Linked DNA regions of Struthio camelus. The protein of the gene in region 1 interacts with the protein of each later gene in a pairwise test. Links are inferred from orthologs where the notes say so. Each region holds a gene or a part of one and is shown in the gene's direction. Other genes may lie near its edges. The genes, in order: GRB10, GIGYF2 and IGF1R.

The links.
Region 2: the proteins of GRB10 (region 1) and GIGYF2 interact in a two-hybrid assay, tested with the Homo sapiens proteins (2 studies listed by BioGRID). The link is inferred for Struthio camelus from reciprocal best matches to the Homo sapiens genes GRB10 and GIGYF2.
Region 3: the proteins of GRB10 (region 1) and IGF1R interact in a two-hybrid assay, tested with the Homo sapiens proteins (4 studies listed by BioGRID and IntAct). The link is inferred for Struthio camelus from reciprocal best matches to the Homo sapiens genes GRB10 and IGF1R.

The regions. Positions count from the first base shown.
Region 1 is NC_090943.1:65,754,400-65,763,720, reverse strand, and holds the start of GRB10 (growth factor receptor-bound protein 10), read left to right. Parts: upstream 1-5,491; 5' UTR 5,492-5,740; intron 5,741-6,686; exon of another isoform or gene 6,687-7,111; intron 7,112-9,321.
Region 2 is NC_090950.1:5,921,170-5,930,920, forward strand, and holds the start of GIGYF2 (GRB10-interacting GYF protein 2), read left to right. Parts: upstream 1-4,663; 5' UTR 4,664-4,794; intron 4,795-5,411; exon of another isoform or gene 5,412-5,497; intron 5,498-5,819; exon of another isoform or gene 5,820-5,846; intron 5,847-9,751. UniProt on the Homo sapiens protein: Key component of the 4EHP-GYF2 complex, a multiprotein complex that acts as a repressor of translation initiation. In the 4EHP-GYF2 complex, acts as a factor that bridges EIF4E2 to ZFP36/TTP, linking translation repression with mRNA decay.
Region 3 is NC_090953.1:5,222,686-5,232,596, forward strand, and holds the start of IGF1R (insulin-like growth factor 1 receptor), read left to right. Parts: upstream 1-5,640; 5' UTR 5,641-5,717; intron 5,718-6,413; exon of another isoform or gene 6,414-6,769; 5' UTR 6,770-6,798; coding exon 6,799-6,892; intron 6,893-9,911. UniProt on the Homo sapiens protein: Receptor tyrosine kinase which mediates actions of insulin-like growth factor 1 (IGF1). Binds IGF1 with high affinity and IGF2 and insulin (INS) with a lower affinity. The activated IGF1R is involved in cell growth and survival control.

The DNA.
Region 1 (9,321 bases):
GTATTTTAACATGAGTTTCCAAAACTTTGGGTAAGCAATCTACCCACTGTTTGCTATAGATGGAACAGGGGATCTCTTCTGCCAGTTGATTTGTGAAAGGTTTGGCTTAATCAGCTAAGGAGAGTTTTTAAAGGCTTATAGTTTTATGGCAAGGGATTAATTTAGATGATAATGTAGTGCAGGCTGATTGGCTAAGATGTGAATTTGTACTTTTTAAAAATTTCCTCTTGCTAGGAAGGCAAAATGTGACTTCCTCCCAATTCATTTAACCTATTTCAACATTTAACCAAGTATTTCCTTTCGACTTAAATAGGTATTGCAAGCCTGAAATTACAGGCATTTTGAAATTGCAGGAGAGGAGAATGCAAAGATTTCTGCTCCTTAAGTAACTATTAGCTTTCTAGCACATACAAGTAAGAGGCATTATTTGCAGACTTTTCTATCAATTCCACTGAAATATTTTGTAATTCTTCTAGAAAAGTGATGTTACATGCTGTATGTTAGGCAGCCTGGTAGACTGATGAGGCATGGTTAAGGCAGCACGTGGTGAGAACCAGCCTGGGCTTTAGCTCTGCTTCCCCATCATACAAGCCGTGCAAAGGCACGTCGATAGCTTACGAGACTGCGTTGTACAGAGATCCCCATGTTACTTCTGAGGATGCTGATATCCTGCACAGCTCAGTGCATAAGCACAAAGAAGATCTGATTTGGGTGCAGTACAGCTGGATTGCCATGCCTCTTCTCTTAGCTCGGTGAAGTCTACCGCTATGGAATCCCTTCCTGTTCACATCACTGTAGGGTTCCCTCCTGGTTTTCAGATGGCACTAGCCAGAAGATCCTGCTACAGGACTGGTGAAAACATGCTCATAATAGCTCCAGCGTACAAAGCAAGATATGAGGCTGAAGATGCAGCCGTTTCATATCCGCCCCCCAACCAAACCGTGAAAAGCCTCAAGATGAAATCATGGTCGCCCTAGGCTCACAAAGAGCTTTGCCACTGACTTTCATGTGGCTGGATTTCCTTCTGAGTCACCGTCCTAGTTGTTCTCTCCTCCTCTGTGACAAAGCTGTGAATGAGCACTACATGTTTTGAATAGATCCCAATTTTTCTTGTCAAAAAAGAGAATATATACTATAGCTTGAACTGCATCTCCTCCTATTGCAGTATATTTCTGATTTTTTTTTTTCCTTTCATCTAGTGATAGCTGGCACACAAGTTAAACTTATGCATCTGGAAACCAGTTGGCTTTTTGATTTGGAAACAGTAAAACACATTTAAGATGTCATTTCACCTAACACCTTAAATATCCAAAAATACCCAGTTTTCTTCATCAGAATTGAGAGAATATGATAGGATACAGTTATTACTGTTGAATTAGTCAATGTGTTAATTGTAGGGCTAGAACCGGGAATAGGTGTGTTTTTACAGACTGGTGGGCTAAATTTATTCCTTTTTTTTTTTTTTAAATGCAGCTTCTGTTTGGATCATCAATGTCTCTTAGAATTCCATTCTCATTTTTACCAACTTGTGTAACTGTTCCATTTTGTGCAGCCAAGAAAGAGCACACATCTTTCACTGGAGCTCAGACTTCTAGCTCAAATTACAGCATGTCCCTGACTATTCAGCCTTTTTCAAAAGCTGTAAATAGAGATATAACTTACCTAGCAACAAAAAGGAGATCTCCATAATATAGTCCAGTCAGTTTATTCTGCTGCGGTTATGCCATAGCTCCTATTTTTCTCTTATTATTAAGATAAATATTATACTATCTTTTTAGTATTAAAAAAAAAAAAAACTTTTTCCTAATCAGCTAATATTAAAAAGCCTTTTGATAGCAACTGGGCAGAAAAAAAGAACTACCTAAACCTCTAAAATTAATGCACTTGGTAAAGCTTCTGCAGGGTCAGGTAAAAGCAGAGAATTGAGTGAAAACTAGAGAAAAAAAAAGTAAAGTCTGAAAATGTTGGTCTTTTGGTGAATTCTGAAATAAAATCTGTATACTTTTGCTCTCATAGAAAAAGTGAAATAGTGAAATGTGAAATAGTGGATGTTTTTATAACACATTTAGTCTTAGCCCTTTCCCTTCCCCTTTTGGCTTTTGTTCTCCACCATACAGTGGTAAAATAGGTATAACGGAAAAAAAATGAAGAAGATGGAAAGGAGGGAGAATTTTTTTTTTACCTCTTTTAACATTAAAAAGACTTCATTTATTTTTTCTGGATATTTTAAAAAATATTTCAAGTATTTGCCTCAACTGTAGTAAAAGCAACAAAAATATTAATTTTAAATTGGTTTTCTTCCAGGTTTAACCTTACTAAAATTATAGTGTGTTACACTTCCTGTCTATTTAAGGTGAAAAGCCTTGTCCGTGACAAAAGAAACTTATTACCATTTCAAAGGTTGGTCAGCATTTTTGCCTATATACTTAGTAGGTAATAATGACCACGTTGACCCTTTTTTGATCGCTGAAGTCTTTTATCAGTGTATTCATCCTAGTTAAAGATGATGCTCAATGCCCACTTTCATATAATGCTGTCATGAAAGTGCCTTTGAGAATGAAAGCAGTGGCCAGATTCTGATCTCTCTTCTTCAGATCTTATACTGGTGGATTTTCATTTCCTACATGAGTGTAAAAGAAAGGAAAATTGTGCTTGTTCTCAGAGTATATATGAAATCTAAGACTGTTTAAAGAAAACATCCTATCTATGGGACATTTTTCATTGTTCAGTTTAATCAAAACTCCTAAAAATGACCTTTTTTTTTTCCACATGCGGATAACTGAATTGTAAAGCTTAGCGTCCCTTGGATAAGTTCCAGAACAAGAAAGTCACCCTGCGGAGTTTAAGTCTCAGGGCAAAGCAGCCCAAGCCCACTGTACTTGAACTTTTAACAGCCGCTTATTATTAGGAGCTAAGTCTTAAGTTCAGCGCTAACTGCCTACAGAATGCCAATATTCCGCTTAAGTTTGGGACCTGCTTCTGCAGCCTTAACACCCACCAAAAAAGCTTCCGTTAATGGAAACTTTTAAGGAGTAAAAAAGGCAACGACGGCCTTTTCCATTCTCTTTTAAAAATTGCAAGATAGCACATCACAACGGTAGAACGCAGTTGTTCCCGCATGTTGACCGGGCAATAAAGGGAGAGCCGAAGCCCCGAGCCGGGTGCTGCCCAGCTAGGCGGGGGCCGGCCGGCCCCCCCTCTTCTCCCTGCGCGCCCTCGCTTCCCGTGAGCGCGGCAGGAGCCTCTCCGGCACGGGAAGGCCTGGCCACAGCTTTCATTAGAAATCACTGGAATCGGTCTTACCCGACCCATACCTTAGCTACGGTAAAGAAGAAGAAAATGGGGAGCGGGGATAAATTTACCCCCGGTGTAATTCCCGTGCGTGGTACTTCTGGAGGCACCGGGAAGCTTCTGCGTAAATGTTTACTTTTTTCACTGTCCTTGAGTGGAAATAATGTTTACGCACTCACCAAATATTACTGCTCCCGTTACTTCTTGTGCGGTTTTCCTTGCGGAAAATTACAATTTTTCTTTTCTTCAAGAAAATATCGGTTAATCCTGTAGGTTGTTTTATATTCCGGGCAGCTATTTTCATGGTATGGCATACTGTAGGGGTTTGTTTTTTCTTTTTTTTTTTCAGATTTGTTAGTTAAGGGAAAAGATAACTATCATAAACATGTCCTTCACCGCCATTGTAGGGATGTATTGCTACTTCTACATTTAAGAGTTTTAACGGTGCTATTTTTGATAAACAATTTTATGACAGTACAGGTTTTGCCTTGAACAATACAGTTGTAGTCTAGGAAACTAAACGTATCTTTCCTAGTGTTTTTATTTGTCAGAGGAATGTTTTCAATGCTCTTGTATATCTACTTCTTTTATTTAACTCATCACAGAATGAAAAATTTTGTACTATTAAGACTTGGGCAGTCTCCTATTTTTGTATGTATTAGAAGGAAATCTAAGCACGGACACATGCTTAACAACAATTCAGTCGGACACTTTATCACTGCCAAAAGCATTCGTAGAGGAATCCATCAACTATTCTGATTTCCATGCAAGTCACTTTACCATCTTCAAAAAATGTAACATTAATGGCACTCAGTGTACATACTGTAATCCTTTAAAATAATGCACATGGCAGACGGATATGTTCTCATGCATTAATAATTTAAAAGTTAATTTTAGGTACTTACTCAATATGATTAACTGATGGATCGGCAGTCTTATATGGAGAAACAGTGAGCACACTTAAAGAAAGAGCGTGCTGGAAGACAGCCAGGAGGCTGCTTGTCTGGTGGCTCAAAAATACCTGAGTTTTATGCTTCCATTTTCACTTCAGCCTTGCAGGTACCACATTGCCGTGCTACGGGTGAGCTCTGGTTTCAATAAGAAATATATGAAGCATCTTTTTACGTTGGAGTATCTGAACATTTAGGGAAGAAGCTGCGTATTTTGGAAGCCAGGAATTCCTGAAATGCAATTCTGCTGCTGCCTCACTCGCTAATGCTGGTCAAGTTATATAACTTCTCTCCTTTCACGGTTTTTTTTGAGGACACCCTGTGTGTGGCTTATTTTGTTAACAGTGGCCTGTAAGTTGATAGTCTAGAAGGGAAATGCTGCAGATGACAACGTATAACTGTTTCATTATGAGGCTAAAGAATGCGCTGGGGCAAATAGCATGAAAGGGGATGTGTACTAGGCATGTGTCGAGCGCCTTGGTCGGGCCCAAGGCGGCTGGCTCTGCGAGAGAAGGGAAAAAAAGTCTTCTGGACACCTCTCTTGCACACACACACAGGTCAAACAATGCTGTACCAGTCCGATCTACCTTTGTGCGACGCTGATTATGAAAGCACGTGAGGCAATAACGCCAGACACGTTGGTTCTAGCACCTGACAGCTATGCGCCCATCTATCTCCGAAGCCATCTCGGGCAGCAGAGATGCACACCTGCACCTCTTCACTGGACGGAAAAGCTGGACAAAAGTCTTTCAGCTGGAGATCGGAAGGAGGGAGCTTCCCTCCTCGGGCAAGACGGCAGCGCTGTCGGAGGGAGGCCGGCGCGGGGCCGGGACGCAGCAGCCCTGGTGGAGGGCAGCAGCGTGGGAACGCCGCCGGCCCTGCTTCCCGCAAGGCCAGCCCCGCAACCTGGCAGAGCCAGCGGAGACGGGCCCCGGCCTACTCACGCGCAGCACTGGCTCCGGCGCCTGGTGCGAATGATTCCTGGCACGTACAACTCGGGGAGGGTGGGCAGGAAAATCACCTGGGAATACCCCTCCATCCCCAAAAGGCAGGGCTCTGGTGCTGGGGCAGAGTGGCCTGAGCGGGGAGGAGCGGCGTTGAGAGGGGCCGGGCGCGGAGCGGGCTCCCCAGGGAAGGCGAAGGGTGCTAGCGGTGCTGACAGGCTGAAGAGGAGAGCTCAGCGCCGAGTGAAGTGGAGATGACGGAGCAAATAGCGGCTGCCGGGGCGAGGCCTGAGGCTGCCGGTGTGAGGAGGGCAAACAGTGAGTCTGCAGCAGAGCGGCACGTGCCTCTGAGAGGCTGATGTGATACAGCCGAGGAAAAGGGAGAGATTATTTAAGGAGCTGAGCAGGCAGAGCAAGAGGCGAGAACAGGGAGCAAGATCGCAACAGGGTAGAAACACAGGGACGGGGAGAGGGAGGATTGATAACAAAACACGCCGGGAAATACAGTAAAGAATGAACCACGGAGAGAGAGAGAGAACAACAAGAGCAATGAAGGTATCATGTTACACTTCAAAATACATTCGGCGGAGAGTTCAGTCGCAGTGCTTCCAATAGTTTCTGCCAATATTTACATAAATCAATCTTACGAGGAAAAGCCCTAAGATTTTTCCTGCTTCTCCTTGGACTTAATTTCCTTTTATAGTGCTGACGACTTCTTACAAGAGGTGTTTTATGCGTCTGACTGAGGGAGTATTCCTCCCTCCTTGGAGTGGAACAGATTGCCCTCGAGCCTGGGTGCTTTAAAACGGTAGCTCTTACCGAAGTATGCAACTGGAGTTACTTGCAAATAAGATTGCTTGGAGGTACGGGCAAAGCTCTGGTGATCCACGGAGTGAAATGCCCAAGGTCCCAGTGCGCCAAAGCGGGAAGCAGCGGCCCGTGGCAGTGCGGGAACCCGGTGTTTTGCGAGGCAGCGGAGCTCGCTTGCGGTTCCCACGCGCGGCGCGCTGACCGCCCCAGGGCAACCAGGGCTCTTACGGCCGTCTGGGGCAAGTGAGAACAGGGGGGCTGGAGCAGGTTAAGTTAAAAAGTCCACGCGGAAACCTATCACGCCGGGGAGCGTCCTCGCTGGTGTGTGTGCGCGCGGTTTTTTCTTTTTTTTTTTTTTTCTTTTAAACAAAACAACCCTTCTCCTTCGCGCCCCCCCCACCCCCACCCCCGACAAAAACACGTCATACGTGTCGCTGTGCACGTCTAGCAGACCAAGGGGCTTAGTTTCGGGGTTAAACGCGCCCGCGGCCGGCCGGCCGGCCGTCCCCCTCCCCGGCGGCGCGGGCAGCGGCAGCGGCAGCGGCAGCGGCAGCGGGGGGGGCGGCGGGGGCGGGCTGCGGCTGCGTGCGGCGGCGGGCGGTGCCGGGGGCGGGGGCGGGGGCAGGGCCCGGCGGGGCGGGCGCCGAGTCAGCTGGGCGCGGGGCGAGAGCGCGGCGGCGCCGTTAGCACCGGGAGCCGGCGGCGGCGGCGGCGGCAGCGCGGGCAGAAGTTTTCTGCGCGGAGCGCAGCCCCGCGCGGCGGGGGGGAGCGCGGCTCGGGCCTTTTTTTTTTTTTTTTTTTTTTTGCTGTTGTTTAATTGAGGTTTTTATTCTTGCTGTTTGGGGTTGGTTTTTTTTTTTTGGTTGTTTCGGGGTTTTTTTTTGTTTTGTTTGTTTTGAGGCGCGTGGTCCGAGAGTTGCCCCCCCCCTTTGCCCCCGCCCTTATCCCCCTTCTCCCCCGCCGCCGCGGGCGCCCGCAGGAGCGTCGCCCCCATCTCCCCGCCGACGAGGAGCTGCCGCGGCGCTGCGCGACCCTCCCCCTGCCGCCGGCCGAAACTTGGCGGGGGCGCGGCGCCGGCGGCGAGGGCAGGCCGGGCCGAGCCGGGCCGGGGAGCAGGTAAGGTGCTGCCGGGGGGGGGGGGGTGGGCGGCCGCCGCAGCTGGGGGTGGTTTGGGGGGTTGGGGGGAGAGGACCCGGGCGGCGGGGAGGAGAGCAAACTTCCTTTTCCTGCGGCCGCGGAGCCCCCGGCGGCGGCGCCCGGCCCCGTGGGAGCCGCCCGGGCACCTGGGGCGGCCGCGGGGGGAGCCGGCCCGCTGCCCGGGGCGGCCTTTCCTTGCTGATGTTTTGGGGGGGGGGGGAATCTCTTTTTTTGGTGGTGGGGGGGTGTATGTGTGTGTTTTGGGCGCGCGGTTGTTGCCGGCGCTTCGCGTGGGAGCCGCTCCGCCAAGCGCTGCCCGAGCGCCCTCTCCGTTTTGGCGAGCGGGGTACCCCGATGGGCACTCGGCAAAAATGCCCCCCTCCTTTTCTCCCCCCCCCCCCCGCTTTGCGGGTGCGGCAGCGCCGTGCGCCCGGCCGCGCCTGCTGCCGTGGACTCGGAGGGCTCCGGCTGAGCCGATGCGCCCCAAAACAGGGTCTAGGCTGGGCTGGTGGGGAGGGGGGGGCTCCCTGGTTTCTGCTGCCCGCATTTGCAGCCCCTGGAGGGCGGCGAGGCCGAAAGGCGCGTTACTGCGGTGCTGCAAGCTGCGCCCGAAACTGTGGCATCTCCCTAAGAGCAGTTTGCAGTTAATTGGTTCGGCAGATGAACTCCTGCAAAATCCTCTTGCCCGCTTCTGTCGCTTAAGGGCCAGCCCCCCGCGTCCCCGTCCCCTCATCCCCGTCCCCCCCCCCCCGCCTTTTTTTCCCTGCTCTCCTTTGAAGCCTCGCATAACTCCGCATGGAGAGGGGGGTGGGAAGTGCTGATTCAGCAGCCTGGAGCCCCGCTCCGGCTGAAGTGGTGGTCTGCGTAAAACGTCTCGATCTGTTGAAGCGGGAACATGTGTTGCTGGTATGTCGAAGCAGCCTTGATCAGGTTTTATAAAAACAGCCTTGCGAATGCGGTTTACTTTTCCCTCCTCTATATTTAAAAAAAAAAAAAATCGGGGTGGTAGTGGGGGAGCTACCAGCAGTTTAGATGGTGAGAGAGGGATATGAGGGTAGCTACCGTGTTAAGTTATGCTTCCCAAGGGCAGCTGAAATTGTGTTGCCTCATAAAGGTGCTGAGCAGTTACTCATTTTAACAAAGATTTTGCAGGCTATGTGGTGATGAAGCCTTAACAGTTTAACTTGATTTATTCCTGCATCTGAAGACTAGTTGTACTTACAGCACTAGAAAAGGTACCGAGAAGGGCAATAAGGCTAATCCTAGGATTAAAAGGAGTGAGTTATGAGGACAGGTTAAAAAAAAAAGTGTACGGAGACTAGAAAACCTGAATGGGAAAAGGAAGTATGCTTGAAACATTAAAGGACAGGTCTGGCTGCGCTTTCTGATCATTTGGGGGCTGGAGAGGGTTGGGGAGGGGTCAGTGGGATACTCTATGCGTGGGATGCATAAAGCAGAAGACTTACCTAGCAGTAGAGTAGAGGAGGGAGAGCTATTCAAGAACCATGTTCCTCAGCCTATCTTTGTACAGTTATATGCTAATACCAAGGCTGTTCTGGTTTAGAGAAAGAAAACCCTAACTCCTTAAAATTCTGCACAACACAGAGCAAATGATAAAGCCTGAAGAGCAATATTTGGTAGCCTTATTTCAGAGGGTGAATTGACAGAGCAGCAGACCTGACGCTTGCCCCCCAGTGATCATTTTACCATGTTCTCCTCTGATTTATTTTCTTCACTTGCACTTTATTTGTTCTTAAAGTAGGTCTTGTTTGCCCTGGCTAGGTATTAAAGATCTTGCGGTACTTCCATGGTTTTCCTTGGTTTTGTTAATCAAAATATCCCCTCCCTTAGTGCTATGTGAGAGTTGGCTTTCATCCTCAGATCCAGGTGTGGCTGTATTTCAGTAGTGTGTTTCTATTTTATTAAATCATGTAGTCCAAAAGCACTGCCTACATGTAAAATGGACCTCTCCATTTCAGTTCTGCTTAAGAATACGCCATGTATTCTATGAATAAAATGAAAATTTTTGCAGCCCTCTCTCTTGCATGTACTTAAATGACTCTGACTCCGGCAAGAATTGTCACAAAGGTTTTTAGGAATCTTTGGTCATATTCTCAACTGCACTCTGGGTGTAAATGGGCTAAAAGTATCTGGATCTCTTCAGCAAAGGGATTCTTCCAGCGCGCGGG
Region 2 (9,751 bases), on another chromosome or scaffold:
GCACATGTAGCTGGACTGAATTTAGAAGGCTTGCACTAAGCTTAGCCATTTTCTTTCACAAACACAGAAAGCTTGCCCATAGATGTTAAAATGCCTGAATCTTGTCTGGATATACTCTGTAGGTCATGACCAAGGGAAACAATGTTCCCTTGGTGAGACCTCTCTCTAAACATGGATTTGCTCAAGTTATTTGCTCTGTTATTGCCCTGGTTTGTGTGTGTATTTCTTTTTTTTCCTCCTTCCAAAACAAAACTCACTAGTCGTCTTTTCACTTGTCTGTTCTGCTTCTTAAACTGTGAGCACTAAGCTGTGAGCATGGAATAATAAATAGAAAAACCTCTACTCTTTAATGTCAGGTGAAAGAATTGCTAAACAATTAAACTGTGTATATATCTTCACAGATTATATTTTATAAAATCACGCTTTTTTAGCTAAATATTTATAATTAAATGTTTTTATACTTTACAACAAAGCAGATAACTGCATCTTCAATTATTTCTCCTGTTGCTGAAATGTACAAATAAAGCCTTGTTATCTCCAGTCTTGCATGTGGTTGATTTTGGGTCCTTCCTCCTGAACATGCCTCTGTTTGAGCCCCAAAGTTTGGTGGCTTGACTTGGATAAGCAGAGAAGTGTTCAGCCCCTTCTCGATATGCCCTCTACTGCTATACAATAGTTCTGCTGTAAAAAGCCCTAATGTTTGCAGTTCTTCTGAAAGGGATGTGGCTGTGCAAATATTTGAAACACTGTCCACTGCAAAATGTTGATATCTGAACATTGTCAGCCTTCCCTTATCTTGAAATAGATACTGCACCTCAGCCTCTAGTAGTGTCTCATCTGGGAGCCTGAGTAGGTTGGTCTAACTACATTTCTCTTTGTGTTTCATCATCCTGCCTTCATAGGAGAAAAATAAATGCATCACAATCTGCAAGCGTTTCCAAGAATCTTATTCTACTTGTGCTGATCTGCTAAGCTTTGCTGGCACGGCCAGTGTGGAGGGCTAAGGAGGAGGCCTAATTAGGCTTCATTGCAGGTGTGATCCAGTGATGAAATGGAAATGCTGTATCCAGTACAGATCTTCAATCTAGCACTGCTCTGTGAGCAGTTCATGCATTTGCTGCACATCTGTGAGCCCTCAGGTCTCTGGGGTCATGTAAAAATCAGAGTGAAGGAAGGCTCCTTGCTCTCCACTTCCTTTTTGCAGCTGTCAATGTTCCTTTTCCCCCTCCTACCCCACCACAGCAAATGCTGCTGCCTTGGCATAGCAGTTCTACAAAGGGAAGCAGGTAACATGTGGTTGGGGGAGGAGCCCTGGGGAGCAGGAGGGGAGGGTGGAAAAAGGACTTCCAAAGTGACCATTTTAAGACTTGAGTCAACTCCAGCTGACAAGTTTCAATAAGGAAATGAGTAGCATGTCTGGCCCTGAGGTAGCTTGGACTGCAGAGCCGGGAAGGTAAGGATCCTTCTTTTGCCATGCAATCCCAACGTAGGTGGGTCAGCAGGGACAGGGAGAATTCACAAATAAGGAAAAAGGGCTGCTGGAGTTGCCCACCAAGGAGATTATCAGTAGGCCTTGGAAACTTGTCATGTCTGTAGTCAAGACTTTCCTCTTTAGCCCTTCTCCCAAAGGGTGGACTTTGCTCATTAGTCCTTTTCCCAAAGGGTGCTCAGTCTATCTGCTGAACTAATTGGATTTTTTTTCTCAGCCCAGGCTTCTTCTGTGAGGTTCCTCTTCTCTGGCGTATGCAGGACAATGGCATCAGGTTTCTCAATGTTCAGTTTTCTGCTAGAGTGGTTTTGTTCAATTCAAGCAGATGCTGTTAGCTGGGGTCTGTATTTAATGCAGTGAACAGTATGTGCTTTTGGGTGTACAAATTTTTTTTTGTTTGAAGGTGCAGCAATGTAAGTTTTGAAGTTAGTTTTACAAGAACTGGCATTTGGAATATAAACGCTCTTTAAATTTTCTGTTTGGCTCGGAACTATTGGATTAAATAACATAGCGTCTTCAGGTTATGCAGAAGTGCTAAAAAAAAATTGCCTAGATAAATCTCCAATCCAATACTTATTGGCCCACAATACCTATTCAATCTTATTTAGCTGTACTTAAAATCTTACAGTCTTTGATACTATGTCCTCCTTCATGTTACTTTTATGCTTGATATCACCACAGGTGGCTCCAGCAGGCCCAGGCAATTCCAATTCTGGTTTCCGATACCTGCTGGTACATCGATACCAGTCTGGCATTACTGACATGCTTGGAGTGACCGTGTGCGTTGTGATAGGGAGGAGAAGTGTGAAGAGAGAAACCCTAGAGAGGTGATTGATGAAAAACCTGTTGTGGATTTGGGTCTTTTCCAGAAGGGAGGAAGACGTGCCTCAAATTGCTCATGTAAAGCTCAGGGAAAGGGAAACAATATGACTGGGAGTATCTCGTCTCTTCTTCCTGGATAAGCGTTCAGGCTTTAACTGTGAGAATTAAGGTGACCAAACTGATTTTTAACCTTTTGGGAGTGTCCAAATAAATCCCTTGGCAAGGCAGATTGAAGTGACCAGAGTGCTTTACTGCTCCTGTTCAAAGTTAGTTTGCAGTGTGAGAAGGACGTCTTAAAATAACTGGGTGCTGCAGAACTAGCAGTATATTTGTGATAGTTTGTCTTTCAGCATAAGCCACCTGGGGTGACAGACGCATTGAAATGACTGACTTTAAAGAACACGGTCCGGTGTTCACCTGCCTGCCTCGTCTGTTGTTTTTATTATTTTTTAGGGACTTCACAAATGAGGGCTGTTCACCATTCCCAGGGAAGACAGAGGCTGTTGAGAAGATAGCGACTGTTCTCAGACAAAATGCTTGGTATATCAGCAAACACAGTAGCTGTGTCTTAAAGTAACTAAAACTTGAGGTGAGGAAGGCAGAAATGACGGACTCCGCCATGCCTTCTGAGCTGCTTTATGACGATTATTTACCTATTCAAAGCTCTGCTCTGCGTCCCTAGCTCCACTGCTATAGTAAAGCAGGCAGGCTCCTGCTTCCAAACTAGGATGCCTTCAATAAGGATTTCTTTTGGTTCCTTAGCGATTCCATTTCCCTACCCTTGGGTTTTTAACAGTGCAGTTGAACTGGCATGGCATCCGAGATGGCTTTAAAGTACATCATATCTTCAGTACCTTAGTAAATGTCAGACTGGCTAGTGAGCTGATTTCATACCTAGAGTACATCAGCTGCAGTCATGTAATTAAACCATGGAGGAATTTAACTGCACAGATACACTCCTCTATGTTCATGACTCACTGTTCTGCTTGAAAGTGTTATGGATGATTTAAGTGTGTTATGGATAATTTGAATTTCCTTGAGATATTTTCAAAAAACGCTAAGTTCTGCACATGAGACATCTTCCAGACACTCTCGTCTTGACATTTTTCTCTCAATAATGTAATGTTTGTGCTAACCGGGGGAAAAAAATTCTGTAAGTTTTAAACTTCTCCCATCTCCGATGTAGCTTATCTTAGAGGACATGAGAGTATTTTTGAGTGCTCCTACTCACGTTCAACAAGCAGAATAATAAGGCACAGCCACTTCTGGAGTGAAGCTGAAAGGTCTGACTGGCAGCTTGATGCGCACCACTGCATCTCTCCCTACTCACACCGTTATTGATATTGGCTCGAGCTGTGTGGCAATAACCAGGAGAATCAAAATCTAGCTTATCAGAGCCCTTTGCTAGGGAGCTTTCTTTTTCAAACCAGCCTCCTAAAGGAGAATTTTCATTCTAAGATTTTGAAGGGAAGCAGTCCTCTGTTGCTCTGGGCTAAAAATAAGAGCTCAGAATGATGAACTTTCAACCCGTTATCCCAGAGGAATCGCTTGTGTGCACTGTCGCGTCATCTTTGGCCAGCATTCAGTGCACAATGACAAGTATTTATTCACCTAGAAGAGCAGAGCTAAAGCTAAATGGATTGTGGCTGAAGTCATGACTGTTTCAGCTGAAAATGGTTATTTCTCCAAAAGCACGTAACAGCTAAGAGTAGCTTTTTTAGGCTGAAATAACCACACGGGGCTATTCCGCGTCGTGTACGAACAGGGGTTTCAGGGCTAAAAATAAAACAGTATTTTTCAGCTGGAAAAGCTTGCCCTGAGCTCCTGACGATGTTCCCGTCAGGCAGTTTAGTATCAAAACAGCTGCTGTGCCACCTACCGCGTTTTCTCCAGCTGCCAGCGGCGGCCGCCGCCTGAGGCCCGGCCTGCCCTGGCCGGGGGCCGACACCCGGGGGCAAAGCACCCGCCTAACACACCGTCGGCTCCCACAGCCGGGCAGCACCGGGCGGGTTTTCAGTGCAGCCACTAGGACGGAATATACCCAGAGGTAACCTAAAACCGCCAGGCGTGAGGGCGAGGAGCGCCAACGGCCGCGGCGCCCGGCGCCGCCTCCTTCCCACAGGCCTTTGCGGCGCGGCGGCGACCGTTGGCGCCCGCCTGCGGCAGGCGGCGCTCGCGCTCCTCCTGGGCCGGGGCGGGAGGGGGGGGCTGCGCGCGCATGCGCCTGGGGCCGCCCCCTGCGGGTGTCGTCAAGTGGGCGGTGCTTCCGCGAGGGCGGGGAGGGGGGAAGGGGAAGGAGGAGGGAGGGGGGAGGAGGAGGGGGAGGGGGAGAGAAGCCCGTTTTCCATCCGGGTCTCTGCGGCGGAGGCCGGGGGGCGGGGCCCGGGCTCACGTGACGTTGCGTGGCGGCGCAACCGCCATCTTGTGTTGTTGGGGCTGAGGAGTCGCGGTGGCCGTGAGGGACTCTCCGTCCGGGAGCGCAGGTACCGCCGCGCCGCCGCTGCCTCCGCCCGCCTCACCGCCGTCCCACCGCGGGACCGCACCGAGCCGAGCCGAGCCCGCACCCCGAGCCCCGGCCTCGCCGGCGGCGGCCCCTGTCCGCCCCGAGCCCGGGCTGCCGCAGCCCGGGGCGCCCTGCGGCCTAGCGGGAGGGAGGCCGCCCCAGGCCGGGCCGGCGGCGCGGGGCCCCTCTTGGGTCTCCCCTGCTCTCCTCGGGGCTTGCTGGGCCCGGCGCCGCGCTCCCCGCCGCCGGGCGGGCATCGCACTGTCCGTGCGGCCCCTTGGCATTAGGGTTCGGCTTAGGGACGGTGCCTGTCAGGCAGCGGCCGGGCGTCGCGCCGCGTCGCGTCGCTTCGCCTCGCCTCAGCGCCTGAGGGGCTGGCAGCTGCGGCCCCGGCGCCGCCTCCCCTTGCGCTGACCCGTGTGAACTCGCTCGTCCCCTCCCCGCCCCGCCTGGCTGGGCCTGTGTTTTGGCCGTGCCGCGGGCAGGTGCGCCCTCGCTGAAGCCTCCGTGCCCGGCTCCCAACACGCCCGGCTCTGTCAGGTTGTACGGGCTGAGGAAGGAGGGAGCTGGTCGCGCACTCGAGCCTTTCCCCCGCAGGCAGGAGGGTGCTGGGAGCAGCAATGACCAGCAGTGTTTGACTGGAGAGGCCTTGGCAGGCTGAAGAGCACATCGATCAGGATTATGTACGTTTGGTATTGATCCAAGACAAGTAGTTTCAGTGTCAACAAAGCAGTCTCCGCTCTTTCAACTCTGTGTAACTGCACTTTGAAGTGGGGCAAGTTTTAGGCCAAAAGGAGACATTGCCAAGTGACACTTCTGGAATAAAACCTATATTTTCCCCAGTAGTCTTCAGCCTGCTGCTTTTGATTTGCTGTTATAATACTACTCTCTCTTACTGTAATTCTTATGTATCTGTTTTCTTGGGGTGGAGGGGAACAGACTTTTGAATTCTGCCTATGTTCTTCTGTCTAACTTCTTGCTGCTCATTCTGTTTTCTTGCTTCAGGATCTGACTTGGGCAAGTTCCTGGAAAGTACGTGTGAATTTTCTTTCCTTTTCCCATAACTCTTGCAGTTGCGTTTTATTTTTAAGTTACTTCTTAATAAACACATTCAGTTGATGCTTTTTCTGAATAGAACGTTTGGTAGATGTACAGAGTGATAATTTGGACCCTTTATGAATGAAATTGGTTGCTGTAGTCCCTAACAAGAGCTTGTTACAGGTATTCTTGAGCTCTGTTTTTCAGTGGTGGTTGTAATAGATAATACTAGTTCTAGTGTCATGCAGTATTGGTGTTACTGGCGTTCACTTGACTGGACCTCCTTTGGTCAGTTAACTGATGCTGAGGTAAAACTATATGCCCTAGTCAGTCCTAGTGGTGTCAACAAAAATGCTAAAGTGTCTTTTGCCCCTTCTGCACCCTCTCCACCTCCCACCTCATATAGACGTAAGTCCTACAAGTTAATTAATGTCCAAGTTCATGTGTGTCAATGTTAATTCCTCACTGAACATGTGATTGAAAACAAAGATTCAGTATAATGGCCAACTATATTAAAAAGAACGTAGAAGTTTATCTGCAGGAGTTGAATGTCAGCTGTCGCCTTCAGGAGGACCTGCTTTCTATTTTTTAGGATGCTCATAGAAAGACTTTAATACCTCAGTAAAAACTCTGACCCTTGTAGATCTTCTCAGATTCAACAGATGTTGATCTTAAGGGGACTTTAAAGTATCCTCAGATACTTAGTGGCTCTCTTGCCTTCCTAAAAACATGCAGTAAATGAAAAATGAGATCTCTATACTGACAGAAGTGAAAAAGCTGCATGTAAATAATGAGTTGAGATTTTACCTTAGTTTTTCTAATAAATCCACTTCTTGATTGATGAAAGGATTTGGCGTGTCAAAGGGGAGTTGAAAAGGGTCTGCAAGGAAGCTTTTTTTAAGGAGAGTTCAGAATAAGTGCCATTGTTTCTCTTCTTCTCCTGCTGTCTCCTAAGGTCAGTTGTCTAAATGGAGTCGTATCAGAAACTGGAGTTTCTTAAACCTGAATGTGAGGAAAAAGTTGGCAGCACTTTTAGGATGTGTAGATACTTCCTTTCTGAAGCAAACTTGATGTCAAAGTCTTGTAGAGCATCTCATTAGGGTAGGCACACAGACTGACTGAAGAGGTTATTTGCTAGTATGTACCTCTGCTGAAAAGTCTTTGTAGTTATTTAAAGGTACAAAGGGAAAAACAGTTGGCAAAATCAGTTCATAGTAATCTATGAAGATGAGTTAGGCGCATGGACCATGATCTTTTCCTTCCCTTCTTCACCCTTCTTTAAAGTGGTTCAGCCTCCAGCTCTTTGGTGGTGGTGTTGGAAATGTCAAGAATATGAAATATGATTCTGCTTACTTTTGTCTGCTCTTGTAAGCTCAACTATCGAATGCGCTTTTCTTATTCTTGCACTGAAGTCTTTAACCTCCCTTCCTACTGCTTTTTAAAGTATGAAGCTAAATCTTCCTACAGTCTGATTTTTAAAAATTCCTTTCCTTAGCTTTTTTTGTCTATGCTTATGTCTTTTTTCTTAGTGCCCCTGCTCAAAGATGAAATGAGATAAACTATATTTAATTTACAAATAGAGATAGGCAGAGGTAAGGGACTGAGCAACAACATTTCAGATCATAAACCTCAAAGCATGGGCCTGATATGTTTCCTCCTTCCTACATAGCTTGCTGGAGATCTATTGAATGTTTTGGTAGGGAGAAATCCATCTCCTTGTTATTGAAAAGACATTTATGTTGAAAGAGATCTCTTTCTTCATGTGGTTTCTCATTGATTTATTTTAATTCATTGAGTGACAGTTGAAAACTTAGGTGTGTGACATGTTCCAGAGGGGATGATGCTATTTGTTTTCATGAGAATTAAGTCAGTTATCAGCCTAGCTTTGCCTCTCTTTCCTTCTTGGCAGTCAAGTATCAAAGTCTTCGGCTGCAGAAAGGATCTGGCTTGAAAATCATCAGAACTGAGAACAGTTAGCAAGTTTGCTCATGGTATACTTCAGTTATAGATGGAACTGAGAAGAATTAAGTGCTTTAAATCATAAGGTCTATACAACATTGGCCCTCTTGTGGTTGGTTGTAGTGTATGTATATATATTTGTGTGTGTATATTTATATACGTGTCTGTGTGTATATATATGCACATGCAACCGTGTAGTTGATCATAGTAATATTCATTTTTCCTCCTCTAGGTCAGATGGTAGCAGAAGACTGTAAAAGACAAGTTCTTGCATTGCTTTGTTAGTAGCTAAGATTGCCACAGTATGTTGATTACAAAATGTGTCCAGTTCTCTTTTTTGCAAAGAGAGGGCTGTCAATCTGTTCTTCTTAAAGGTCAGTCAACATTCCTTGAATATAGAAACTCTGCAGCAGTGGCTTGATGCCTGTGAGAAACTAGGCTGCCATTGAAAATTTTATGTCTCTCTTGCTTATTTTTTTTGTATGAAAGGATACACAGAATTGTTTTGTGGTTTTTGGCAAATGTGACATCAAAGTATGTATTTTCAGGAATAATCTTTTTGAAGTCATTAGTGCTTGTAATGTGTATAAGCTGGTTATCTAGACCTCAGAGGATTGTGGAGAAAAGCAGAGATGTCTGTAAAACTAGGGGGTCTGTAGGTCAATGAGACATTTTGCTGGGCATTTAGAAAATGTATCTAAAATGCTATTGTGTTGACAGTACCTTTTGGATCATTTATTAGCTTTTGATTCCCTCAGCTAATTATTAATAGTAATGCATTGTGGATTTGTTATCTTTTTGGCCATATGTTTTCGAGAATCTAGGCAAACAAAGCGATTATTTGCTGCTCTCAACAGCGGCTTTTGTATATTTAACTTGTCACTGTAAACAGGTAAGCTGGCCTACATATAACGTGTTACAAAAATAAACCAAATGGAAAATTATTATTGAATGCTAAACAGCTGTTATTGAAGCAAAAGTAAGCATGACACGTTGCACTTTGAAAATTAATGTTTTGCAATTGTATATTTGGTCATTTTCATTCAACAGGAAAATACTTATTTCAAATTGTGATTACTATGAAAAACTTTCTTCCTGTTGTTGACAACACATTGAAATCCCTTTCATGGTATTGACAGTATTTTATGATGAAGATACCAGTTGGTGGGACTGGAATGTTCTGAGGCTATAGATCTACGTATGCAGGTTAGATGGGATGAAAGGAGATTTGTGGCCTGTATGTGGTAGTGTGTTTCTTCTGATAAGAAGAAATATGAGGAAAAAATGTACTTCTGGTGGTGAATGGGTAGCTGAATTTATGTAACTTCAAACTTCAGGCAAGATATAATATGGTAAGGAGTTGGTATGATTGGTAACTAAAGGATGTATAAGCTGTGATTTGTGAGCAGTGTATGGTAGAATCAGAATAATTTAGGTTGCAGGAGATCTTTGGTCACCTGCTCCAACCCCCTACTCTAAGCAGGGCTAGCTTCAGTGTTCTTAATAAGGCAGATGATAGAAAGTGAGTGAGGATGATCATGGAAAAACAGCATATGGTGGGATTTTTAAGTATCAGCAACCAATAACTTGATTTAAGAAATCGGAGGCCTGGTTCAGCTACCATTAAAACCAGTGGAAGGTTTTACACTAGGCTCAGTTAATGCTGAATCATCTGTATGTGTGACTTTCTGTATTGTTTATGTTATAGCAGATTTTAAGAATACTGAGGCAGGATCAGTATAACATTGCAAGTGAGTTTACAAAGATGTAATTCTTCTGTCCCTTGGTAAGATGTGAATGTCTTTAACAACGTTGACATAAAGAGAAAGGGAGTGCTAATAAGCTATTACAAAGGGTTGTTGTGATTCATATGTAGTAGCAAGTTAACGTCTAACTTTGTGGATGATTAACATAGGCAGTCGGATATGCAGAGCAATTTT
Region 3 (9,911 bases), on another chromosome or scaffold:
GACGCCCGAAGCCCCCGGCAGCTGTTCCCGCGCACCTACCGCTCGCGCGCGCTGCCGCGCTCGCCTCCCAGGCGTCTTTCCTGCCTCATTTGTCACACTCGCAAACGTGAAAGGGGAGGCGAACGCGCCAGCGCGGGCGCTGGGTGCAGAAGTGAAGTGCTGGGCTGCGCGGCGCCGCCAGGGCTTGGCGTGGCTGCTCGGCGCATCGGCAGCCTGCTGCAACGCTGTCAAAAAGGCACAAACATCAGCATAATTTATCGGTGGCTATTTTAGGCAGGTGCACGGGAACTCTAAATATACGGCATTCACCGCTTGCTGCAGTTGCTATGGATATGATAGCTCAGGCCTGTAACGAGGGCTATAAATGTTGTTGTGCGCTTATTGTTGTTGTTGCTATTAAAACATGAATTTTATAGTTATTCCCGCTCAGCCGCTGCCCCTAAATCGTCCTCGTAACTGCATATTTCTTTGTTTGAAGGAAGGACACGTACAAGGAAGGTGGTATAAACAGCACCCTTTCTTCCCTTCTGGCTTTTATTTGCTACAGAAGGGACCAATTTTGAGCCGCTGTTTGCAGTAGTATCAGGGCCAGAAGAATTAGAAATCACTCGGAGGCAAGCCGACCGAAGAAGTGGGCTTCCTCCAGGTCCCTCTGATCAGCACACCGGTATTTAAGTGTTGCACACCACTAACATAGCCAATTGTTGGGGTTTTTTTGGTCTTAAAGAGGTGCGGCTTGCAGGGATTCTGCTACGGCCGGATGGTCTCATCTGCCCCAGTCCGGCCCGAGGCTGCAGAGCTGGTACGGAAAAGATGGGAGGAAGGTGAGGAGGCTCTGCGGACATCTCTGCCACCGCGGAGCAGCTACCGGCATGCTGCTGCCCAAACGCGTGCCGCGCTCCTGTCCCCTTGCCGAGCATTTTCCCAGGGCCGTGAGCCCCGTGGAGGCCGCTGGCGGCTGGCGCACTTCCCAGCCAAGCACCAAGTGGCGATGCCGGGCAAAAAAGGGCAAACTGCGTTGTGCCTAGTATCGAAGGGCTTGCTACCAGCTTATAAAGCGGGGTTTATAAATGGAGATTTGGGGGAGGGGAGAAAGCAGGTGATGGCCGAGGCCTCGGAGGTGTCCCACAGGTGCCGGGACCAGGCTCGCACACGTGGCTGGGAAGACGAGTCGCTCGCCCAGACCCAACCCCTAAGGAGCACGCCTTGCCTGCAAAATTAGGAGGGGTGAAAGGGGCCGCGAAGAGACCCTGCAAGAGGCACCTCCAGTCGGCTGGGCTTCGTCCCGAGGAGCTGACGCGCTCGGGGAGGGCAGGAGAATAAATCTCTCACACCGGCAATGCAAAACGTTCAGATGCTTAAAGGTTACGAGTAGCTAGCGTCTGGTAAAGAGGTCAGTCTGCCCCGAAACTGCTGCGGAAGCCAAAATAAAGTCTAGGCCGGCCTAAGTGCAGTGCTAGCACTGAGGCAGGGAAAATAGTGAGGCCTCTTTCTCCCCAGTGGTGGCCCCCGAAAGCAGTGGTGAGGCTGCTGTTAAAATTAAAATATGGCTGAGTATTCGGATATTTGCCTTGGGCAGATACATGTTTTGAGAGACCGGGGTCAGCGGCTGTTTTAACCGCGTCGTTTCATCCCCACTGCCACACTTCCTGCGTTTTCCACTTAAGCGGCATTTTAACCAGGACGCAGGTATGCCGGTGGCAATCTGCACCGCGCTCCGGAGGGCAAAGCGGGTGGATTTATGTGTTGCTTTCTGTCCATCTGTCTATCTTGAGGACCATAAAGTGGCGGTGGGAAAAGGGGAGGCATGCAGCCCAGCGCAAACACAGAGGAGGAATGGTTGTAGCACCAACGGGACGGAGAAGAAAGACGCTTTCTACCTGACCGTTTAGGGAAGATCAAGCCAGGAGAAAAACGATTTCTCCTACTGCTGAAAATTATACCGTAGACTTCATGCGTAGAAAGAAAGGAGGGAAAAAACCCTGCATAGATCTAGCCATGCGACATGCATTAAACATCATATACCTTAATTTTCTATTTAATTTTCTTTAATTTTCTTCTTTTCTTAATTTTCTTTATTTATTATTAACAGTCTCATGTAGGAGACGTTGCCAAGGATCAGGACACCAGTGAATTGCCAGGCAGTAATGAAGAACAGCGAGGGCTGCGCAGCTTACGGCTGAGCTGCTGGGCACGATGCAGCCGACACAAGACGTGGAGTTGGGGTCTCAGCTGCTGGGAGAGCGACCTCCAAAACAAACGGCTTCCAACAAAGCGGAGGCATGGTTTCACCAGGTCTCAGCAAAGACTGTGCGTGGCCACAGCCGTACGGGGCAGGTTTCTCCTAACACGTGCTCGGTTACTCGCAAGCACTCGGGAGCCTGAGAGCTGCAGGAACTCCGCATTTCGATCATCTCACTTAATCCATTGGCGGAAACTTTCCCCTTTTGGGCTGGATATTTTTATGCTCAGTCAGTTTGACTTTCTTGCAATGAAGTTCGAACAAGATATTTTAATCATTTCTGGATCCCAAGAAAGGTTAAGCTCTTGCAGCTGGTTTTAGGCTGGGGGTGCTGCTCAGCCTGGCTGAGGATGCCAGGTCTGGGTTCCCACTGAATTAAACCTTCTCTTCTTCCGTTCAGATCAACCTCCTTTGAGCAGGTCTGCGGGTAAAAGCAGAGGCAGATGGTGTCCGACAAGGAAATGGATTTCATCACGAAGCACCTTTGCACATCACCATGAGAATCATCTTTCATTTGTCCGATTTACAACCTTTAAATGGTGCATCGCGTACGTACAGTACAGTTTGCTCGAGGTTTTCATAGGTAAAGAGACGAGCGTGCTGTGGTTGTACCTGATGAAAAATCCTAACTGAAATACTCCCACCGAAAATAAATAAGAGGACCACTCTCGGAGGCAGGTGCTCCCACAAGGGAGCAGAACGCGGTTAAAAGCGTGCATTGAAGCTGAGCGCGTCTGCCTGCAGGGCCGACACGGAAAGCCGCGGAGGTGAAAGGGTAAGGACGGCTGCCGACTCTCCTCCGAACCTCTCGGGGTACGGAGCTACGGAGATCTCGGCCTTGGCAGAGGAAGGGCTTCCTCCTGTGCACCTCCCGGGATATAAGGCAGCATGTAAGTATATAAGTTAAGATGTCCTAGCGGAATCTAGCCCAAAAACTCCAAATTACGACATTCACCTTGGCAACACGGGAAGCTGGAGAGCGGCGAGAATGCCCCAAGTCCCCCCCTGAGCTGTTATTAGTTTGTTTTCCTTTGAGAAACAAAGGAAACTCCAGAAACAAAATGCATTGAGACGCCTATAGGATTGGGTCTATATGACTTAGTTTGCGAGGCCTTTGGGGGCGCAGTGCAGCTACGTTTGCGTCTCGTACAAGGCACTTTTGCATGACTTGTCCTATTCGTCGAAGCAATGAAAAGAAAGGCTATTTAATAACAAAAATTCGTAATGACAGCAAAACGATAACAGGGAGACACACGTTTCCCACTTCACTTTGGCCTTTACACAGCACCACGTTCACTTGTAAGTAACACATGACGATTTACACACTATATGTGCGGAAAGCGCAGTTATTCTGCTCAATATCCTGTGCTAGTACTAGGCACAGTCCTACAGAGCAATAATAAACATGCACTAGACTCGAAGATCTTTTCGGCCGAATTCAGTGAATCCTTGAAAACCCGCGTGGAGTCGGTGAAGCGTATGATACACCCGCGCACGTCGGTCTAGGGCTGTTTCGCACGGACTCGCGCTGTCCTCCTGCCCCGCATCCCTGCGCTGGGCTACCGCCTGGATGTGCAGGCACCGGTGTTTCGACTGCGTTAGAAAAATACAGTCCTGGAAAGCGGCTCGTGGAGAAATCCTGCCCCTGCGGTGCTTGACTGCGTGACAAAACTCCCCCTCACTGGTGTAGAATAAAGTCCCTGGGGCCTTTCCATCCTTCCGACAGGGTATGAGAGCTAACGCGTGATGGAGACACCAAGCCTGGACCGTTCTGACACGGCAAAATGTGTGAACACGGACAAAGGAAAGAAGGAAAACAGGAATGCTGCTGCGCAAAATGATGCAGCAACATAACTGAAAGTTTTGTAATCCGACATATTCAAGAAATCTTCTGGTTAAACGTGAAAAGTTACTTTTGACACTCGCGTTAATAATGTGACACTCGCCTGTCTCTTAATGCAGCTTCTCGTTGAACTAGCGCACAGCTAAGGCGCGCGGGTGTCTGCTTGCGAGCCCGGCAAGTCCAAACCTTCCCCGCGTGTGCTGGTCTCGTCCCTCCCCGTCCGAGGCCTGGCGCTGCGGACGGCGGCGAGCTGTACGTGGGACAGCGGCTTTTACGCCGTATTCACTGAGGACTGCAAACGTGAAAGGGGGCAAATTATGCCGTTGGGTCTTCTCGCAGGTGAGGCCAGCGGGAGCGTTCGCCTCCCTCGTTCCTCGGGCCCGAACCCCCATCCCGGGAGCTTGCCGCTCGGCCTTTTGGCCGCGCTCTGCAGCGTTCAAGCCATGTGCCAGCAACGTTAACAGCGATTACCGACAGCAAACAGGCAAACAGGCCGTGCAAAACCCGCAGCTGTGCATTTCTCCAGAACGCCGTCCCTTCACGCCTTTATTTGTATTAATTTTATTATTATTTCTGAAGAAGGCAGGGGTGTTTTCCACGGTGCCGGGCTGCCGCCAAGCCCCGCTCGCCTCCTGCCCGCCCCCAGGTGCGGCCGCGCAGCAGGCACCCGGCGCGGCGGCTCCCGGCTTCCGCGCCCCGCGCCGCCTGCCCCTGCCCCTGCGCGCGGGCCGCCGGGGCGGATTCCCGCGGAGCGGAGCGCGGCCCCTCGCCCCCAGCCCCGCGCGGGAGGAGGAGGAGGGGGGGGAGGGAGGAGGCACAGCCGCGCCCGCTCCGCGCGCCGCCGCCGCTCCGGCGCTCCGGCTTTTGCTTCGCGCCCCGCCGCCGCCGCCGCCGCCTGGGCGAGGGGAGCCGGCGCGGGAGGGCGCGCGCGCGCGCCTCCGGGAGGGCGCGCGCGCGGGAGGAGGAGGAGGAGGGCGCGCGCGCGCCCCGTCCCCGTGCGGCCGCGGAGAGGCAGAGGCGGCGGCGGCGGGCGCGGCGCTGAGGCTGTTGTTTACCAGCGTCAGCTCTCCGCCGTGCACAGCGAGGAGGAGGAGGAGGAGGAGGAAGAAGGGGGGAGGCGGCGGCAGCAGCGCGGTGCAAACCCTGCCGCGGGCGAGCGGCGAATTAATTGGGAGGAGCAGCGGCGCCTGCGGCCGCCCGGCAGGAATTACGGACCCTTCGCCGCGCGCTCGTGGGCTTTGACCTTCAGCGGAGCGGCGCGGAGGGGAGCGGAGCGGGTCGCCTCCCCCCCAGCCAGCCCCCGGCTCGCGCCCGCGCCTCGGCCCGCCCGCCGCCGTCGGGGCTGGGCACAGCGCGGGGGAAGGTTTTGCAGCGCGCGCAGCCAGAGGAGGAGGGAGAAAGAGGAGGCCAAAAAAAAAAAAAAAAAAAAAAGGATTTACAAATTCGCTGGGTGGTTTTTGTTGTTGTTGTCGTCGGCGGCGGCGGCCCCCCCCCCCTCCTCTCCGCCCGCCCCCGGCGCGATGGCACGGCGGCTCGGAGGGATGCGAGGGGGAGAGCGCCGGCGGGAGGAGGAGGAGGAGGAGGCGGCGCGCTGAGCGGCGCGGCGCGGCTCGCCCTGCTGCTGCTTTGTGTGTGCGTGTGTGTGTGTCCCGGATTTTTCTTCCTTTTTAATTTTTTTTTTAATTTTTTTTTTTTTTTTGGTGCGTGGTGGGGGGAGAAGGAGCCTGTGGCAGCGGCGCCGAGGAGAGGAAGAGGAGGAGGAGCAGGGGGAAACCTCTTCGATTCATTTTTTGCTCCGAATTCCGCATTTCGGCTCTCTCTGCGGCCAGCCGGACTTGTGGCGGTGGTGTGGCTGGGTTTTTTTTTTGTTTTTTTCCTTTTTTTTTTTCCCTTCCCCCCTTTTTTCCCCCTGCCTCGCCGAGGGGGGGATCCCTTCGCCGCTGCGCGGAGGGCGCTGACCTGCCGTCGCGGGAAGCGCTGTTGTTGTTTTGTAATAAGCCTTCCCTGCGCGCTCCCCCCACCACCACCCCCGCCGCTTTTCCTTGTTTTTTTTTTTTTTATTATTATTATTATTTTTTGGGTTGTTTTTGTGGTGTGAGGGGTGTGCGCGCGCGCGCGCGTACGGCCTCCGCGTGTGCCGGCTTGGAAAATGGAGGTGGAGGATGCAGACTGCCAGCGCCGAGGTGCCTCACGTTTGCGACTGCTGTGCACGACGCGCCGCTGCAGCCAGCGCTGAGGGCAGGCGGCGGCGGCGGCGGCAGCGCCCGCGCAGCGCCCGCGCAGCCCGCAGCGCGCAGCTCGCTCGGAGCTCGGAGCTCGGCCTCGCCCGGCCGCCCCATGCCCGCCGCCCGGGGCTGCTGCTAGAGCTCCGCAACACACACACACACACACACATATATATATATTTTTATTTTGGTGTGGTTCCTCCGGAAGATCAACACCCAAGGACCTCGAAACCCCTTCGGCTTTTTGCAAGCCGAAGGGTCGTCGTCGTGTTTTTTTTTTTAAATTAATTATTATTACTACTAATTTCTTGAGGCAACGTGGATTTATTTATCCTGCCCCCTTTCTCATCCCCCTTCTCCCTCGTTCGTATTTTTTAGAGAACGGGGAGGGGGAGGGAAAAAAAAAAAGGACAATTTTGGACTTTTTTATTTTTACTTTTTTATTTTTTTTTCTGAAAGGGGGATTTTGTCCAATTAAAAAAAGAGGAATGAAGTCTGGCGCCGGAGGAGGGTCCCTCGCCTTCTTCTGGGGGTTTCTGCTCTTCTTCGCCACACTTTGTCTGTGGCCAACAAATGGAGAAAGTGAGTATTGTGCGTGGCGGCGCGGGGGGTGTCGGCAGGGGCTCCCTGGGGGGTGTTTGTGTGTGACGGTGTGCCTGAGGGGGGTCGGCGAGGGGCTCTCGGGGTGTGTGTGTGTGTGAGGGTGTCGGCGAGGGGCTCTCTGGGAGGGGGTGTGTGTGTGTGAGGGTGTCGGCGAGGGGCTCCCGGGGTGTGTGTGTGTGAGGGTGTCGGCGAGGGGCTCCCGGGGTGTGTGTGTGTGGGGGTGTCGGCGAGGGGCTCCCGGGTTGTGTGTTTGTGTGTGAGGGTGTCGCGAGGGGCTCCCGGGGAGGGTGTGTTTGTGTGTGAGGGTGTCGCGAGGGGCTCCTGGGGTGTGTGTGTGTGTGAGGGTGTCGGCGAGGGGCTCCCGGTGTGTGTGTGAGGGTGTCGGCGAGGGGCTCCCGGGGTGTGTGTTTGTGTGTGAGGGTGTCGCGAGGGGCTCCCGGGGTGCGTGTGTGCGTGTGAGGGTGTCGCGAGGGGCTCCCGGGGTGCGTGTGTGCTTGTGAGGGTGTCGGCGAGGGGCTCCCGGTGTGTGTGTGTGTGAGGGTGTCGGCGAGGGGCTCCCTCGGGGTGTGTGTGTGTGTGTGAGGGTGTCGGCGAGGGGCTCCCTCGGGGTGTGTGTGTTTGTGTGTGAGGGTGTCGCGAGGGGCTCCCTCGGGGTGTGTGTGTGTGTGTGAGGGTGTCGCGAGGGGCTCCCTCAGGGTGTGTGTGTGTGTGAGTGAGGGTCGGGGAGGAGTTCCCGGTGAGTGTGTGTGTGTGAGGGTGTCGCGAGGGGCTCCCTCGGGGTGTGTGTGTGTGAGGGTGTCGCGAGGGGCTCCCTCGGGGTGTGTGTGTGTGAGGGTGTCGCGAGGGGCTCCCTCGGGGTGTGTGTGTGTGTGTGTGAGGGTGTCGCGAGGGGCTCCCTCGGGGTGTGTGTGTTTGTGTCTGAGGGTCGGGGAGGAGCTCCCGGTGTGTGTGTGTGTGTGTGTGTGTTTGTGTGTGAGGGTGTCGGCGAGGGGCTCCCGGGGGTGTGTGAGGGTGTCGGCGAGGGGCTCCCGGGGGTGTGTGTGTGTGAGGGTGTCGGCGAGGGGCTCTCTGGGAGGGTGTGTGTGTGTGTGAGGGTGTCGGCGAGGGGCTCCCGGGGTGTGTGTGTGTTTGTGAGGGTGTCGCGAGGGGCTCCCGGGGTGTGTGTGTGTTTGTGTGTGAGGGTGTCGCGAGGGGCTCCCGGGGTGTGTGTGTGTTTGTGTGTGAGGGTGTCGGCGAGGGGCTCCCGGGGTGTGTGTGTGTTTGTGAGGGTGTCGCGAGGGGCTCCCGGGGTGTGTGTGTGTTTGTGTGTGAGGGTGTCGGCGAGGGGCTCCCGGGGTGTGTGTGTGTTTGTGTGTGAGGGTGTCGGCGAGGGGCTCCCTGGGTGTGTGTGTGTTTGTGTGTGAGGGTGTCGCGAGGGGCTCCCGGGGTGTGTGTGTGTGTGAGGGTGTCGGCGCGGCGGTGGCTGGCGCGTCGCAGCCCGCCTGTGGCGATGTGTGTGTTTTTCCGCCGGTTACTGAATCCGCTCCTTGAGCACGTTTGAAAGCGTTGCCCTCCCTCCCTCCTGCCCTCCCGGTTTTCCGGCGGGAGGTTGGCCTTTATGCACCGGTGAGAAAGAGCTGCGGCCGCTGCCTCGCGGCAGTGATAGCGGCCACCCGTCGCCTCCTTGCTGTTCCCCGCACCTAACCTGTACACCCCTGAGAGCTCCCCCGCGTTTTAGCGCGATGTTTTTAGCCCGTTGCGGCCAGGGCTGCGAACTGCGTAGTCGACACTCGAGGGCTGGGGAGAGCCGTGCTTGCCTTCCGCACCTGGAGGGCGGCTCGGCCTTTGGGAGGTCTGGGTGAAACCACCCTTGCAGCGGGAGTGAGGAATTCCTGGGAGAAGCGTGGTGCCTCCCCTGACCGGTTTGCTGTGGAGGAAGGGCTGCGTCCGCGCCGTTTGGGGCGCAGAGCTGAGGTGGCGTCCTGCAGCTCACCGTCTCGATCCACCCCCCCCCCCCCGAATTTTTTAGGTCGCTACGTTATGTCTGCGCGTAAACAGAAACGTTTGATGCCTGGGAGGACTACACTGTTAAACGTGTGGTGGTTTTTTGTTTTTTTTTTTTGAAGCGGCCGTGTTGTATCTAGATTTAAGATTTGCGCGGTGGGTTTCCCGGCGTGCTAGCCGCTTCCTCCGCGCGTGTGCGCGTACAGCCCGCGCGGAGGAGAAGGTGCCTGGCGGGGGCCCCGGGCTGCCTGGGCTTCTTCCTGCCGCTTAATCCCCGCAGGGCCGCGGCGTCTGTCGGCGTCGTCCGGGAGCCGCCGCCGCGACGTTGTTTTTGTGCCGTCCAGGGCAGCGCGGGGGGCCGGGACGGCCCCACTCTGATGTCGGAGGGTCGAGGTTGCCTTGCACGGAATCAGCCTTCCCTTGTGTGTTTGTTTGGGGTTTTCTTGTTTTTTCCACCCCCCCCCCCCCAGGGTCTGTAGGCAGGGAGGTGTTGCGTGCACCTCGGAGCCCAACCCCTCTAATAACCGCTCCGTCTCCCTCTGCTCCACAGAGGCAGAGGTGTTGTTTTTTTTTAATACTGTATCTTGATGCTTTAATTTCTTCCGCTGTGTGTCTGTATGTGTATTTTTTTCTTTTTTGTTAAACATACTACTTGAGCTGTTGTTGTGCGCCTCTTATTTTTCGAAAAAAAATATTATGCGCCTTGTTGCAAGGAAGGGAGGAAATCTTCTCCATTTTAAGTGTAAAGGGAAAGAATTTGGGAGCTGTAAAGGCTTTTCTGAAAGTAGTAGTTTCGGGTTGAAAAGAAAGGGAAGCCCCTTTGGATGCACCGACAGTGAGGCTAACTGGGGGGAAAAAAAAAACGTTTGAGCAAGAAGCACATAGATGAAGCCTGTAACGCGTGTTGAGTAATATAATGTTTCATTAGGCAGCGAATGCCAATTAACTCGTTGCAAATTAAGGCACAGCTTTGCCTTTTGCGTTGCAGCGGCAGGGCCAGCTAGGGCTGGAGCAG